Linked DNA regions of Lonchura striata. The protein of the gene in region 1 binds, or shares a complex with, the protein of each later gene. Links are inferred from orthologs where the notes say so. Each region holds a gene or a part of one and is shown on either strand. Other genes may lie near its edges.

Region 1 (6,970 bases):
TCATAAGAAAATTACATGGGAGCAAGAGAAAAGAGAGGCTAAGAGTTACCATGAAAGGCATTAATGTGTTATGGTATATTATAAACAAATCATAGTAGTACCTGGGTTAATTAAAATTATTAAAATTAATATTCTACTAATTCAGATTCCTGAAAATAGGGGTTCTTTAAATAAGGAACTAAAGAGAAGACTGTGGTTGATTTAAAAAAAATACACCAAAAAACTGATCACCAAACACTGGTACATTTGAAGAGTTTGCTTCTTTTCTTTCAGAAAACCTAATGCTGATTTCATTACAAAAGGGCCACACCTAAAACCACCAGTTTGTACTGACATATATCTAGACATTGTGAATAAGTCCACAGTGTAACTGGTCAGCATGCAGATTTGTCTGGATAAAACTGGACATCTGAAACTCTACTGCAAATCCATCTAAGACCAAGATACAACTGGGACTAAGATCACACTGAACTAGAACTAGAACTATGTTTTTACAATCATATGGACCTAAAAGCCATAGAATTTTAGTTAATACAAGAAAAAAACACCAATATTTCGTCCCAGTTGCAAAGAACTTCCCTGGAAAAATACAGTATAACTGTCATGACCAACACCCAGAGAGATTTTCTTTTGTTTGCAGATCTTGTTAGGAAAATGCATTATGAAAATAAGAAATAGACTTTCCACAGATGTTATCTAGGAATATTTCACATATTTAACTGCCTTTTAAGTGAACTACTTCTAGAGTGTTAACTACATTTCATGCCTCTGCCCCATGGTGACAAGTTTGGCCAAAATGGACGGACAGGCACAATCCAAAATACTGACCATGATGTTAAGATAGATTAAAAGAAATATCAGCTTTGCAAAAGTAAAATTTTGGATAAGAGAGTTGTTGTGACTTGGTACAACTCTACAAAGGCTGTCAATAATATTTTCTTAAATCATAATTCCCAGAAGAAGCACTTCAGAGTGAACACTTTTAGGAGTGACATCACTCCATAAGTTCACATGCTGGTTTGGGTTTTTTTCCCCTGACAGATTATTTGGCAGAAATGTTTCTAGGATTGATATTCAACTACCTTAGAGAAAAAGACAGTGGTACACATATCTGAAGTACCTGTAGGCAATCTACTTGATGATTCACATGTCCTCATTAAGCCTCTCCTTCTCACTGTGAGTGTGTTCTAAAGCAGCAAGATTTTACAATATTGGGGTTTTTTAAATGTTCATGGAACAAAAATTCAAATCAAAATAATTGCCTCTAAATGCAGCACTTGCCAAGAAATTAACTTGCAGTATTATTCAGACAAAAGGCCCTTTTGTTTCCATAACTTTATTTCCTCTCTACCAAGGGTTTATGTATGACTAAAACAAGTACATAGTGAGAAGATGATTCCTGATCTGCCTGATGACTTTGATTCCAAAACCTGAAAAACATCCCTGAACTAAAAAGGTGCATTATCACTGTCTCAAAAAGTGAATCTTTTTGGCTGTGAGTGTTCAGAAACCTGTTTTATAAAACAGAATATAAATGCATTACCTGAAACATAAATAACGTGGGTGTTAGCAAACTATTCTTCCTCTCTAAAGAGAGGTTTTTCAACCCTAGCTTAAAGGAGGTTGAGAAATCAATTTTATGATTGGTATTTGACATTTGTCCACAGCAGAGAGATACCGTATGATTTGAAAGTTGCTGAATCTGTGCTTAGGGCTATACAGACATAAAAAGGGGGGATTTGTAGGTCAAAAATTAGCTCCATTGCCACTGTTTCTGGAGAAGCTGGCAAAGCATATGGCCCTCCTGAAATGTCTGTTCTGTGCTTGGAGGCTACTGACATCCAAAGAGACACTTTCTCTTTTTTAGTTTAACCTCCTCTCTGCCTTAGTGCCTGGATTTTGTTCTGCTGTCACCAGGCCTGAGTATGTAAAGATCAATCACCACGACTGTTGACAGACTGATGGCATTTTTCTCTGTCAATCAAGAACTACTGGGATGGAGCTGGTCCACCTTCTCAAACAAAGCATCAGAGACAGCTTTGGCAGCAACAGTAAAAACCGCACCCCAAAAAGGAAAAAACCTCTGTCCTAAGAAGATAATGCATAATTGAAATCTGAAATTGACACAATCAGATTTTACCACCCTTTTATGGGTTCAAAAACAGCACTCTGAAGTCTTTGTAACCAACTATTGCAAACTTGAAGATACTAAGCAACATTCATACATTAAACAGAAACAACCTTTCAAAATATGAAGTCTTGTCTAAGTAAGCCTTACCCTACCTCCTTCTCATCACCCATCCACCCGAACACTGCAAATGAACTGAGTTGTTAAAATTTCTGAGACGACTGCACAACCACCTTCTGCATGAAAATCGAGCAGCTTAAATCTGCAGCATGTTCAACACCTTCAGCCTCCCCAAAATTCCTGCTGAACAACTGGCGTGAATCGCCTTCTCTCACCTACAGACTGTCACCAGCCCGTGCAGCAGACGAGGGAGGTTCAGCCGTGCGTGGTAAGCATCAGGTACAAATACAACAGGTTACTGGAGCAGGGAAAAATAGCCGTACCCTGCAGTACACGTGCGGAAGATCAGCTTAAAAGCAATGTATTCTTACATACTCATCCTCCAAATAATCGCAAGGTTCTTTTGATTTACGATGCTTCTATGGCACAGAGCATCCTATGTGTGCTAATTAAACGGCTTTTGAGAGTGGGGGCGAAGACAGGGGTTTCGGGCGCCTTAGGGGAGCCGTCAAACTTTTCTGCCGGCGGTGCCCGAAGTTGAAGGACGGGCCGCTCCGGGCCCTGCCCGCGCCCCCGCCCGCGCCGCCGCAGCCCGGCCGAGCCCCGCCGTACCTGCGCTGCCGCCGCCGCGGGCAGGGGGTTGTCCAGCAGCTCCATCTGCACCTCCTGCGCCGGGCTGGGAGGCGATTTGGACATGTCGCTCTGGACCATTGGCGAGGAGAGCGGGTGGCTGGGCGCCGAGCCTCTCGGCGGGACAGAGCCGTGCTGAGCCGAGCCGAGCCGAGGCGAGGCGAGGCGAGCCGGGGCGGCGGGCGCCGCTCAGCGCCCGGCCATGCCGAGGAGCGGCGGGCGGCCCGGCCCTGCCCTGCCCTGCCCGGCTCCGCTCCGCTCCGCTCCGCTCCGCTCCGCCCTGCCCTGCCCGCTGCCGGCGGGGAGCGCTCGGCGCCGCGGACGGGGCAGCGCCGGCGGCGGCGCGGGGGAGGGCAGGGGGCGGTGCGTGGGGAAGAGGGAAAGTGACAGCGAGCATCTCCCTCCGGCGGCGCCGGGCGGGGCGGCGCCGCATCCGCGCGGCCCAGCCCGAGCGCGGCCGAGCGGCGAGCAGCGAAGTTGGGGCTGTGGCCGGCGGGCCGGGGGGCATCAGGCCCTGCTTTTCCCTTCAGCCCTGCCCGGCGTCTCAGCCTGGCCGCGCGGCATCGCCTGCCTCAGCGCGCATCGGCTTAGACCTGTGCTGTTAGCGAGCGAACCGGCGCTTCGACAAAGTTCCATAGGTCTCTTGTGTTGACAGGGCTTTTTGGAGGTTCCTATGCACATATCAACAAGAGATGAGTACGATGAAATCCGCTGTCGAATTTTATATAACCTGTGAGTGTACGATCTCAATCGTGCTATCAGGTACCCCACAGGAGGCGCTTGAAACACCTGTTTGAAACCTGATCCGGCAAAATCACCCTCCACCGCTGAGATGATCTTTCATTTCTTGTGAATGAGAGATCATTTTGGTCCTTATAGAGACCAAACTCTCTGACCTTATGAAGTCCACAATGGACTGATACCTTTCTTCCACTGGATGGGACCTAGCTGTGCCCCATGCAGCATGAAAGGGAAACTTGTGTTTTCAGACTCACTATGTGATGGTTTGTGAAATATCCTATCAGCTGATTGTAAACAGTGAAAACTAAGTCTAGAAACTGACTGGCCTGGTCACACAATTAAAATCACAACCATTACTAAAAGTAATAAAAGTCACTTTCAGGAAAAGAAGCCAGCAAACCAAAGCCAGCACAAAAGCCAGATCAATTTCAAAAAGTACTTTCAAGCTTTAGCCAGATTGCATGGTTGATTTATTTCATTTTTCATAATAGCTAATAAGCTTCCTTTCTGAATTAGTTTACCCCTATGGATTTTCTTATATGAATAGTGAAAATCTTACAGGAACTGCCCATTTTTTTTGTGAAGAATTAGCTTTGTCTGCAAGAGGAAGTGCTCTGACGTTTGAAGAACTTTCACTTGTCCATAAAGTTCCATATTTATTTTTGAAGACAATATTTCAAAATTATTTTCTAGAATTTTAGCGTGTTGTCCATGAAAAAACACAACCTTAATTTAAAGTGAAAATTGTGGGGTTTATTGCTTAACTTTCTTTCAAGTAACGCAATAGACATGTTCAACAATCTTGAAACTATAAAGATGCTGGAGTCTGGACTGCTTCCAGATGTTCTTCAGGTGGTTATAACCAAAAAGATATTTTATTTTTAGATATTTGGTGTGAAAAATTCATACTTCACCATCTAGTAGAGGCTTTGAAGTAGTTATTTCTTTGACACTTACAAATTAGATTGTTTAAATTTAATTACTTTTTGTAATTTACTAATTTTGTAATTTTACTCATTATAAAGGAATTTACTGAAAAGCCTAAACACAGTATTCGTGTTAATGATTGCTAGGTGGTGTATTGTTATTGGAAGATGTTGTCTTTGAATTTCTAGCACCTTTATGGCTTTGGAACAATTTATCCTTCTGTATCAAGACACTCTAGGAAAGGTACTTGACGATCCACCATGATTCAGTACATTTACTTGGTAGATTTTCAGGCATCTGTCAGGGATTGCCTGCTCTTTCTCACACAGAGAAGGTAGTGGAAGTCACTTAATCATGTAACAGTGGCCCTTCATGTTGCCTTCTGGATTTTCACTTTGTAAAGAGTGTATAAACAGGAGCATTTTTTAAGTATACCACCCTTCTGTAAGAGTAGTAGTGATTATTTTTTAAATATTACAGTTTCTAAAACCATAAATTGTGAATCTGGATTGAAAGAGTATTTCTACTCTCCTATAAATTAAAGCTTGAATATGTCAGTTGAAGTTCATTTTTTGTATGCTCAATCATGTCTTTTATGATTAGTTTGTCTTTTTTTTCCTTTCCATTATAAAAAAATAATGGTAATGATTTTGCTTGTTTATGTACATACATAGAGGTTCTGTAGAAAGAAAAGACTCAGGAAAGAAGTTTCACCTCACACACACACAAATAACATCTGAATTTTTAGTAAGTTTATTTGGTTTTTCTTTCTGAGGAAAAATATTCTACATAACTGTTCTTTAGCAGCAATTATTCATTGTCTTGATGTAATGAGTGGCTAGAAGATTAGCATAGAAAAATAACTGTATTTTATTCTGTTTCACCCCTTCTGTTTAGCAGTTAATCCAAGTTCTCTAACCTTGAAATGTGCAGTGAAAGTCCTTCAGCTGAACACATATGCATACAGTCATCCTTCTGCATGCTGTTTTTGGCCACCTCTGCTCCAGGAGAAGGGTCAATGTGTAAAAACAATGTGCAGAGATTCTAAATTGCTTGCTTTTTCTCAAGAGAAAAAGCAACCTGGTATGCCTAACCCCTTCTCAGCAGAAAACCACCCTGCTGCATTTATTTACACTTTTATCTGCAACGAAGAGGTGTTGTGCATGCTTATTTGGATTTTTATAAACATGTAAATGTTAGAAAACCAGAAGAAAACACAGGCTGTTTTGTTCATAGGCCCTTTTTCTTTCTTTAAAAAAACAATCCCAAAAGCTTAGGCTGACAAACAACCTGATTTGGGTGCCAAAAATAGCTGGATTTTTTTTTTTGCATGAGAGTTTAGATGTTCTTGTAAAGCAAGGAGGACTGTATTACTGTGCATATTTAATTGTTCTTTACCATCAGTATAAGAATGTGGTGTCAGCACCATGTTCTAACCTTTGTACCCATGTATGGCAGGTACATGTTTGGTTTAGCCTATAACTATCACCTAAATGTACAAAAAATAGGCCAAGGAAGTTTGGCTGATATTTGTGCAAATGCAGCTAAAAGCTAGTAACTTAGACCCAAGGGATTTCTTTAAAAACTTGCACAAATACAAACCAGTGAGCTTACAATAAATTATTTTTATGAAACTATATAAAATGCTTTTAACTGAGCATATATTTAAAGCCCTGATATAGAGAATTTCTCTAGGTCTTTCAGTTAAAAAGAAATGCTGGCTGTCTATTAGTCTGTGCCACCTCCTGCCTAAAATGAATTGTAGCCAGAAATTCAATATTGTAAAAAAAGAATTCACTTGATTACACAGTTTTAATATCTCAAAACAGATACGGTTAATCTTTTTCGGTGATAAACTGGAAGCTGCCTGTCGCAAGTGCAAGTTAAAGGGATTCCTCTTATTTTAGTACTTTATCTTTCACACAAGTCTGAACAAAGCCACTCCAGACGGGCTCACTTTTGAATCCGTTATCAGTCTGTATCAGAGCACATCACCTGGCTGGATTTAATGAACTGATCCATTCTCCCAGCTCGTGTTTATTATGTTGTATTCTTGGATATAAGTGCCATGCACCTAAGACAGCCTTGACTGATACTATTACAATGTGTTCAGGAGAAGACAGGATTGGAAGGAGGAGGGTTTCCATATGACGGAAGATAGGAGCAGTATATAAACACTGGTAAAAATGCTCTTAAAACACAGAAAGGCTCACAATACTTGAAAAAGCCACAACACCTACTAAGCACATATTTTCAGCCCTTTGCAAAACGTGACCAAAAAAGGCACGCTCCCTCTCACAAGCTGTTCACTTTGTGAGAGGCAAATTTTCTGTCGATGGGTTGTACACAAAGTTCATGTTTGATTAAGCACTTCTGCAGAAGTTGCTGGTTTCAGTTGATTTTTTTTTTGCTTTTTTCTTTGCT
Region 2 (8,099 bases), on another chromosome or scaffold:
CAGGGGTGTCCCCGTCAGGCCCTGGTGTGGTGGTGATGCAGCTGAATGTCCCCAACGGCCCCCAGGCCCCCCAAAACCCCCCCGTGGTGCAGTGGAGCCACTGTAAGTACTACAGCCTGGAGCAGCGGGGGCAGAAGCCAGGAGACCTCTACAACCCCGACACCAGTGCTCAGGTACTGGGAGGACTGGGAGGGACCGGGAGGAGGCAGCTCAGCCTTGGGGGTGATGGCTGGGGGGTCACCCCGCGGGGTCAGGGTGGGCATGGGAGCGGTCACAAGCATTTGGGGTGTCTGACACTGTCCCTCCCCCAGGCCAGCACCCAGCTGAACAGCCCCATCACGTCCCCCACCCAGTCCCCGACGCCGTCGCCCGTCACCAACCTCAACAGTGTGTGCACGGGGCTGAGCCCCCTCCCCGTCCTCACGCAGTTCCCCCGGCCCATGGGCCCGGCACAAGGTAAGGGGAAGAAGGCCTGAGGGCACAGCCCAGGGCTGGGAATGCCGTGATGTTTCCTGGGATCCCCACAAACTCAGCTTCCCTGTGCAGGCGATGGGAGGTACTCACTGCTGGGCCAACCTCTGCAGTACAACCTGTCCCTGTGTCCCCCGCCGCTGCTCCACAACCAGCCCAGCTACACAGGACACCAGGTAAAGTATGGCCAGACCTCCCTTCCCCAGCCCCTGTGTGGGCACCGTGAAGCCACAGTGTCCCCTGAGGTGACACGGTGCCCTTCTTCTCCTCCAAGGGGCAGACTGGAATGAAACACGGCAACCGGAGCAAGAGACAGGCCCTGAAGTCAGCGTCCACCGACCTGGGGACAAGTGACGTAGGCAAGTGTCCCCCTCGAGCCTCTTTGCCCTCTGATGTCCCCACAAATGGATGTTGGAGACTCCAGGTGCCGTCCCTGTCCACGCCAGCATCCTGCAGAACCCTGTGCTGGTTTTGGAGAGTGGTTCCTGCCTGTCCCTTCTCCCCACACCCACAAACACCTCCCAGCCCGGGTGAGTCCAGGCTGGGGGTGCAGCAGATCCAGCCCCAGGCCGCTGTGCCCTGAGGGAGGTGGGTGAACAGGGAGTAAAATCCCTGAGGAAGACACCTGGGAGCTATTCCTGCCTCTCAGAGGCTGGAAATGATGGCGCTGGCAGAGCTGAGATTTTATTCCTCCTCAGCAGAAAGTGAGTGTCCAGACTCTGAGATCTCATTCCCACCACTGCTTTCCCAAGTCCCTCTTCCCACCCATGCTTCCCTTTCCCATGGGGCCTGCAGCTTCAGAGCCTCATCTCTGAGATTTGGGCTCTCCCAGGCTGGCTGCGAGGGCTGAGGGTTCTGGTGAATCCTTCCCACCCATGTCCAGAGTTGTCTCCACCGGGTCCTTGGGAAGGGAGGGACGCCCAGCTTGGATGGAGCAGCCCTCGGTGACCCTCTGGGGACCTCAGGCTTGTCCCCAGTGTCACCTCGGTGCCACCAGCAGCAGCTGCTTGCAGGGGCTCTTTAAGAACTGCCTGCCCCCTCCTGCCCCTGGCATGGTCCCTACGTGCCACGTTAATATTAGCAAAGAATCCCTGCAGCAGCTCTGCTAAGCCCAGAGCCAGGGCTGCAGCCAGGAGCTGCGCAGGGGTTTGGGCACCACAGGGCAGGGAGAGGGAACTGCAGGGATTTAGGCACCACAGGGCAGGGGCTGGAGCTGCAGAGGGATTTGGGAACCACAGAGCAGGGATAGGGAGGAACCAGGGGCTGCAGAGGGATTTGGGCACCACAGGGCAGGGATAGGAGAGAGCTGGGATCTGTACAGGGATCTGGGAACCACAGGGCAGGGGCTGGAGCTGCACAGGGATTTGGGAGCCACAGGGCAGGGATAGGGAGGAACCAGGGGCTGCAGAGGGATTTGGGCACCACAGGACAGGGGTCAGGAACTGCTGAGGGGTTTGGACACCACAGGGCAGGGATAGGAGAGAGCCGGGAGCTGCACAGGGATTTGGGAGCCACAGGGCAGGGAGAGGGAACTGCACAGGGATTTGGGCACCACAGGGCAGGGATAGGGGAGAGCCAAGAGCTGCAGAAGAGGGATTTGGGCACCACAGGATGGGGTCAGGAACTGCTGAGGGGTTTGGGCACCACATGGCAGGGATAGGAGAGAGCCAGGAGCTGAGAGGGATTTGGGAACCACAGGGCAGGGTCTGGAGCTTCAGAGGGGTTTGGGGACCACCAGGCAGGACACACCCAGTGCCACCATCCTCTGTGGGTGCAGCCATTCTCCCTCCCAGAGTCAGAGTTGGGAGCTCCCAACTCTGGGATGGGCCACTGGGGTTGGCTCCCAGTCCTGGGGTCTGAGGTTTGGGGTAGGAAAACCAGGCAGAGCCCCTGGGAGAGCCTGAGGTGCCCAGCTGTCCCAAGGGTGCCAGGGGGGCTTGGTGTCCCTGCAGCTGGGGGACACTGGGGGACACCCACACCTCCCCTGCAGCAAAGCCAGCACGGTGGGCACGGGGATTGGGCTGGGGCACTGCGGGCAGGGGGGCTCTGGGGGGCTTCAAAAGCAGATCCTGCTCTGGGGGCAGCTGGGCACTGCACGGTGTCCCGGACCCAGGAGAGGCCAGGAGGGTGCTGGGGACAGCGGGACCTGGCCGGTGACACCGGGACCTGGCTGGGGACAGCGGGACCTGGCCGGTGACACCGGGACCTGGCCGGTGACATCAGGGCCTGGCCAGTGACACTGGGACCTGGCTGGTGACACCAGGGCCTGGCCATTGACACCGGGACCTGGCCGGTGACACCGGGACCTGGCTGGGGACATTGGGACCTGGCCGGTGACACGCAGCTCCTTCCCTGCAGTGCTGGGCCGGGTGCTGGAGGTGACGGACCTGCCCGAGGGCATCACACGGACAGAGGCCGACAAGCTCTTCACGCAGCTCGCCATGGCCGGTGCCAAAATCCAGTGGCTCAAAGAGACTCAGGGGCGGCGCGGGGACGGCGGCGGCGGGGACAACAGTGGGACTCCGGAGAACGGCAGGCACAGTGACCTCGCTGCCTTATACACCATCGTGGCCGTGTTCCCCAGCCCGCTGGCTGCCCAAAACGCCTCCCTGCGCCTCAACAACTCCCTCAGCCGCTTCAAACTGCGCGTGGCCAAAAAGAACTACGACCTGCGGGTGCTGGAGCGGGCCAGCTCCCAGTAGGGCTCCCGTGGGCACCGGGCACTCCCCTGGGCCTCTTCTCCTCCCGCCCTCCCTTCCTCTCGCCCTCCTTCCTTGATATATTTATATGAACATAATTAAGAGACAAGAAGTTGATTTTTTTTTTTTTTAATTATTATTTTTTGGAGTGACGCCCGTGCCCGCCCCCCTCCCCTGTGTCTATGGTTTTGTTTAAGCACTGTGTTGGACCGCACATACAGGTGTTGATTGGTATGTTCACTGCACATTTTATTTAATCGGATTATTATTTTGTGGGGTGGGGGGGGGGTGGGGAGAAATTTTTTTGTTTTATTTTATTTGGGGGGGTTGTTTTTAAATAAAAAAAGAAAAAAAGGAAAATTGTCCATCACTTGAATGTAACTTCCCATTCTCTGCCAGTGCCAGGGTTGGGGACTCTGTGCTGCCTCAGCGGGGTGAGGGGACAGCTGAACTGGCAGGGGGATGATCCTGCCCAGTCCTGCCCGAGCTTGGCGTGTCCGAGGGCTGCAAGCCCCTGGTGTGCCAAAATGGGGATCCCAGGCTGGGATCAGAGCGTTTGGACTGGGGCTGGACTCCCCTGCCAGATGTTCATGGCCTCTCCATCCAGCTGTGGAATTCCAGGGCAGGAACGAGGGCATGGCGTGGCCCCAGCTGTGTGTCCTGCCAGGAAACATCACATTCCTGCGGACAGGAGCAGCACCTGGAGCTGCCAGGTGCAGGTGGGGGCAGGATTTGGGGTGGCACAGCCAGAGCCTCTGGCAGTAGCAGGATGCTCCCAACCTTCCTGGGCAGGTGAGAGCTGCCAGGAAAAGGGGGGGCTCCAAGCCCAGGCTGGTTCCAGCTCCCACCTCGCTGCCACCCACAGCCAGGCAGGGACCTCAGGGTGCCCATTAACTTCAGGGTGGGATCCCAGCTCCTGCCATCCCAGCGGAGCCTGGACCAGCAGGATTTGGTGCCAGGGGGTGTGAAGCAGCCACTCCACCCCGTGCCAGACCCCACTGCTGCCCCTCTGCCGCTGAACCCGCAGCAGCTTCCAATGCACGAGGGAAGGAGATGCTGAAGCTGGAGCCCTCGGTGTGCCCAGCTCCCGGAGCCCTGGCTGTGCCCAGCTCCCCGAGCCCTCGGTGTGCCCAGCTCCCGGAGCCCTGGCTGTGCCCAGTTCCCGGAGCCCTCGGCGTGCCCAGCTCCCGGAGCCCTCGGCGTGCCCAACTCCCGGAGCCCTCGGTGTGCCCAACTCCCGGAGCCCTCGGTGTGCCCAGCTCCCGGAGCCCTCAGTGTGCCCAGCTCCCCGAGCCCTCGGTGTGCCCAGCTCCCGGAGCCCTCGGTGTGCCCAGCTCCCCGAGCCCTCGGTGTGCCCAGCTCCCGGAGCCCTGGCTGTGCCCAGCTCCCGGAGCCCTGGCTGTGCCCAGCTCCCGGAGCCCTCGGTGTGCCCAACTCCCAGAGCCCTCGGTGTGCCCAGCTCCCGGAGCCCTCGGTGTGCCCAGCTCCCCGAGCCCTCGGTGTGCCCAGCTCCCGGAGCCCTCGGTGTGCCCAACTCCCGGAGCCCTCGGTGTGCCCAGCTCCCGGAGCCCTCGGTGTGCCCAACTCCCAGAGCCCTCGGTGTGCCCAGCTCCCGGAGCCCTGGCTGTGCCCAGCTCCCGGAGCCCTGGCTGTGCCCAGCTCCCCGAGCCCTGGCTGTGCCCGCTTCCTTCTTTGTCCCAGGCCAGGCTGGGGGGGCCCCTGGCACGCCCAGCAACCCACCAACGCAAATAGCCGGTGGCTCCTCCGCCTGCTCCCGCCGGGGCTCCAATTTCCCGGCGTCAGCCCCGCCACCGCTCAGCTGTCGTCCCCCTCTGCCCTGTCACTCCGCTCGGCCCGGGACCGGCGCGGCTGCCGCCCGCCACCGAGGCCCGGGGGCTCTGCGGCCAACGCGGCTCCGGCACCGGCCGCCCTTCGGGGGCTCCTTCAGCGCAGGGCGAGACCGCCAAGCGCAGGGTAAGTGCCCCCTGTGCCCGCTCTTGCCGTGGCCGTGCCCGCCCGGAGCTCCCCCGCTGCTGCGGGGCCTCGGGGTGCCCCATTCCCGCAGCGCCCCTCGCCCCGGCGCTCCCCGTGCCCCTTTGTTGCTTCCTGATGGTTTTCCTGGCTGCTTTCCACGGGGGGCTGGAGGGGCTTGAGGGGTGGGCATCGCCAAAAAGAGGGAGGTCTGGGTGGAAGCACTGCGGAGAGGCTGTCGGAGGTGGCACCGGGATGGTTTGGGGGATGCAGGAGCAGGTCCTGCCCCGGTGGCAGCCGAAAGCCGTCAGTGCCCGTCGGTGCCCCCCGTGTGCTCGTCTGAGGGGCCGAGTTTGTGGTTTCACGGTGAGATGGAGATGTCCGGGCTGAGGTGGGCACCTGCAGGTAGCCCAGGGGCTGGCTCACAGCACTTGGCACCACGTCCCTGAGCCAGCGGATGTGCCACGCTCTGGGCCGGGCACCGGCCTGGCCCTGGGGCTCACCGAGGCAGAACCAGAACGGGGCAGGGCTGGGATGGGCGCTGGGAGTGACCCTCGCTGAGACAGGGGCTGCAGGACGGGCAGGGGAAGGGGTGGCACTGCCCACCCAGCAAGGTCTGACCATCCCCTGCCAGGCTCCTGCAGCTGGAACTGCCCCAGCCAACTCCAGCTCTGCTCTTCCCCTTGCAGCATGACGGAGAAGGAAGTGCCAGAGCCACCAGCTTCACCTGCTTCAGGTGGGAAACCCAAGAGCCGGGTAAGTGGGTGCCCACAGGGCAGTTTGGGTGGGCGGGGGAAGCCCCCTCTCTATCATCATCATCATCATCCTGCCGCAGCCCAGGAGGCTGTGGGAGGCCTGGGGTGCCCGCTGGGACCCTGATCCAGCCGGGTGTTGGGTGGGCATTTCCCAGCTTGGCATTTCCCTGTGGCGCACCCACATCCGTGAGGGGCTCAGGAACCGCAGCTTCCTCTTCTGTGGAGACTTCACGGGGCTGGGAGGAGGCTCCCCATCTCCAGAGCATTCCTGGAGTCTCCTCCCGCTCGTGGAGGGGGTCCCCGGGGCGAGGAGCTGGGTGTGTGCCCTCCTGCCTCCCCCACGCTGCCACACACCGTCCGTCCCCTCCCGCCCCAGCAGCTGCAGAAGCTGAAGCAACTTTTCCAGCGAAAACCCAAGGAGGAGCCGGCGCCGGAGCCACAGCCCAACGGGGAGCTGGTCAGCCCCTCGGGGGGACCCATCTACTACATCTATGAGGATGAGGAAGAGGAGGAGGAGGAGGAGGAGCCCGAGCCCCCTCCCGAACCCGAGAAACTTGTTAATGACAAACCCCACAAGTTCAAAGACCATTACTTCAAAAAGCCCAAATTCTGTGATGTTTGTGCCCGCATGATCGTCCGTGAGTCCTGAGGGGGCTGGGGGGCACGGGCAGGGCTGGGGCTGGGGGCTACAGGCAAGTCTGGGGTCACGGGCGGGGCTGGGGGTCACGGGCAGGGCTGGGGGGCACGGGCAGGGCTGGGGGCTACAGACAGGGCTGGGGCTGGGGGGCACGGGCAGGGCTGGGGGCCACGGGCGGGGCTGGGGGCTGGGGGCAGGGCTGGGGGCTACAGACAGGGCTGGGGCTGGGGGGCACGGGCAGGGCTGGGGGCCACGGGCAGGGCTGGGGCTGGGGGGCACGGGCAGGGCTGGGGGCCACGGGCAGGGCTGGGGGGCACGGGCAGGGCTGGGGGCAGGGCTGGGGGGCACGGGTAGGTCTGGGGGGCACGGGCAGGGCTGGGGCTGGGGGCCACGGGCAGGGCTGAGGGCAGGGCTGGGGCTGGGGGCCACGGGCAGGGCTGGGGGCTGGGGGCAGGGCTGGGGCTGGGGGCCAAGGCCGCGCAGGGCTCCGTCGCGGCCGTTTCACAGCTGCAGTGTCACATTCCCTCTCCTTTCCACCCCCCCCGCCCACTGCCAGTCAACAACAAATTTGGCCTGAGGTGCAAGAACTGCAAAACCAACATCCACCACCACTGCCAGTCCTACGTGGAGATGCAGCGCTGCTTCGGCAAGATCGTGAGTGTCCCCCCCCGGGAGCGGCCAGGACGCGGGTGCCACCACCCCTGTCACTCCCTGGCTCTGAGGGGGACCCCGGCATCTCCCTCCGGGGTACCCCGGGCTCTGAGAGGTGGGGCCGGGGGGTGGCTGATGCTCCGACCCCTCCTCGGTCCTCGCAGCCGCCCGGGTTCCGGCGGGCGTACAGCTCCCCCCTCTACAGCGACCAGCAGTACGCCGGCACCAAGGAGCAGCTCGGTGAGACCCCCGTGCTGGGCTGCCCCGTCCCCTTGGCACCCAGCCTGGGCTGCCCCAACCTGTCCCCCCCTGACCCTTCTCCTGCCCCCGCAGCGAACAGGAGCGACCCCGTGTTCGAGACGCTGCGGACGGGCGTCATCATGGCCAACAAGGAGCGCAAGAAGGGGCAGGAGGACAAGAAGAACGTGAGTGTGGGTCGGGCTCTCACCGGATTCCTGCCGGTGCGCCCCACGAACCCTCCAGCCCCCCCCCAAATTCTGCACCTTCTGAGAGCTCTCTCTGCCTTCCAGCCCTTGGCTGCGATGATGGACGAGGAGCCAGAGGCCACGAAGCCGGTGGGGAGCAAAGCTGAGGGTGGTGAGCGCGGGGCCGAGGGTTGGGGGGCTGAGCCCACGCGGACACGGAGGGAGCCCCTGGCTGTGTTTTGAGGGGGGTTGCCCTGCGGAAAGAGGGTCCTCCATTCATGTCCTCACCCTGGGGCTCTCGCTGCATCCCCACTTTGGCCGAGGAGACCCCCGGGAGGCACCGCCAGGAGAGGCGTGACCCCTCCTCCTGTTCCCAGGTGCCTCTGAAGGGGACAAGAAGGCTGAGAAGGGCACAACAGATGACAAGGTACCCCTCACATCCTCGCCCTGCACCCCAAAGCCTTGAGCAGAGCTCGTGGGATCTCCCTGC

The links. Proteins that work in one complex are often made in the same cells at the same time.
Region 2: CACNB2 (region 1) and STAC3 share a complex: the UniProt entries of both Homo sapiens proteins name them as parts of the calcium channel complex. The link is inferred for Lonchura striata from reciprocal best matches to the Homo sapiens genes CACNB2 and STAC3.

Annotation. Positions count from the first base shown.
Region 1 is NC_134603.1:137,020,219-137,027,188, reverse strand, and holds the start of CACNB2 (voltage-dependent L-type calcium channel subunit beta-2), read right to left. Parts: upstream 3,053-6,970; 5' UTR 2,960-3,052; coding exon 2,861-2,959; intron 1-2,860. UniProt on the Homo sapiens protein: Beta subunit of voltage-dependent calcium channels which contributes to the function of the calcium channel by increasing peak calcium current. Plays a role in shifting voltage dependencies of activation and inactivation of the channel.
Region 2 is NC_134629.1:5,901,571-5,909,669, reverse strand, and holds the start of STAC3 (SH3 and cysteine-rich domain-containing protein 3), read left to right. Parts: upstream 1-5,004; 5' UTR 5,005-5,144; intron 5,145-5,830; 5' UTR 5,831-5,831; coding exon 5,832-5,897; intron 5,898-6,272; coding exon 6,273-6,534; intron 6,535-7,089; coding exon 7,090-7,187; intron 7,188-7,348; coding exon 7,349-7,424; intron 7,425-7,517; coding exon 7,518-7,609; intron 7,610-7,714; coding exon 7,715-7,781; intron 7,782-7,986; coding exon 7,987-8,036; intron 8,037-8,099. Other genes in the region: R3HDM2 (R3H domain-containing protein 2), read left to right, coding at 4-173, 312-456, 547-647, 746-830, 2,830-3,173. UniProt on the Homo sapiens protein: Required for normal excitation-contraction coupling in skeletal muscle and for normal muscle contraction in response to membrane depolarization. Required for normal Ca(2+) release from the sarcplasmic reticulum, which ultimately leads to muscle contraction.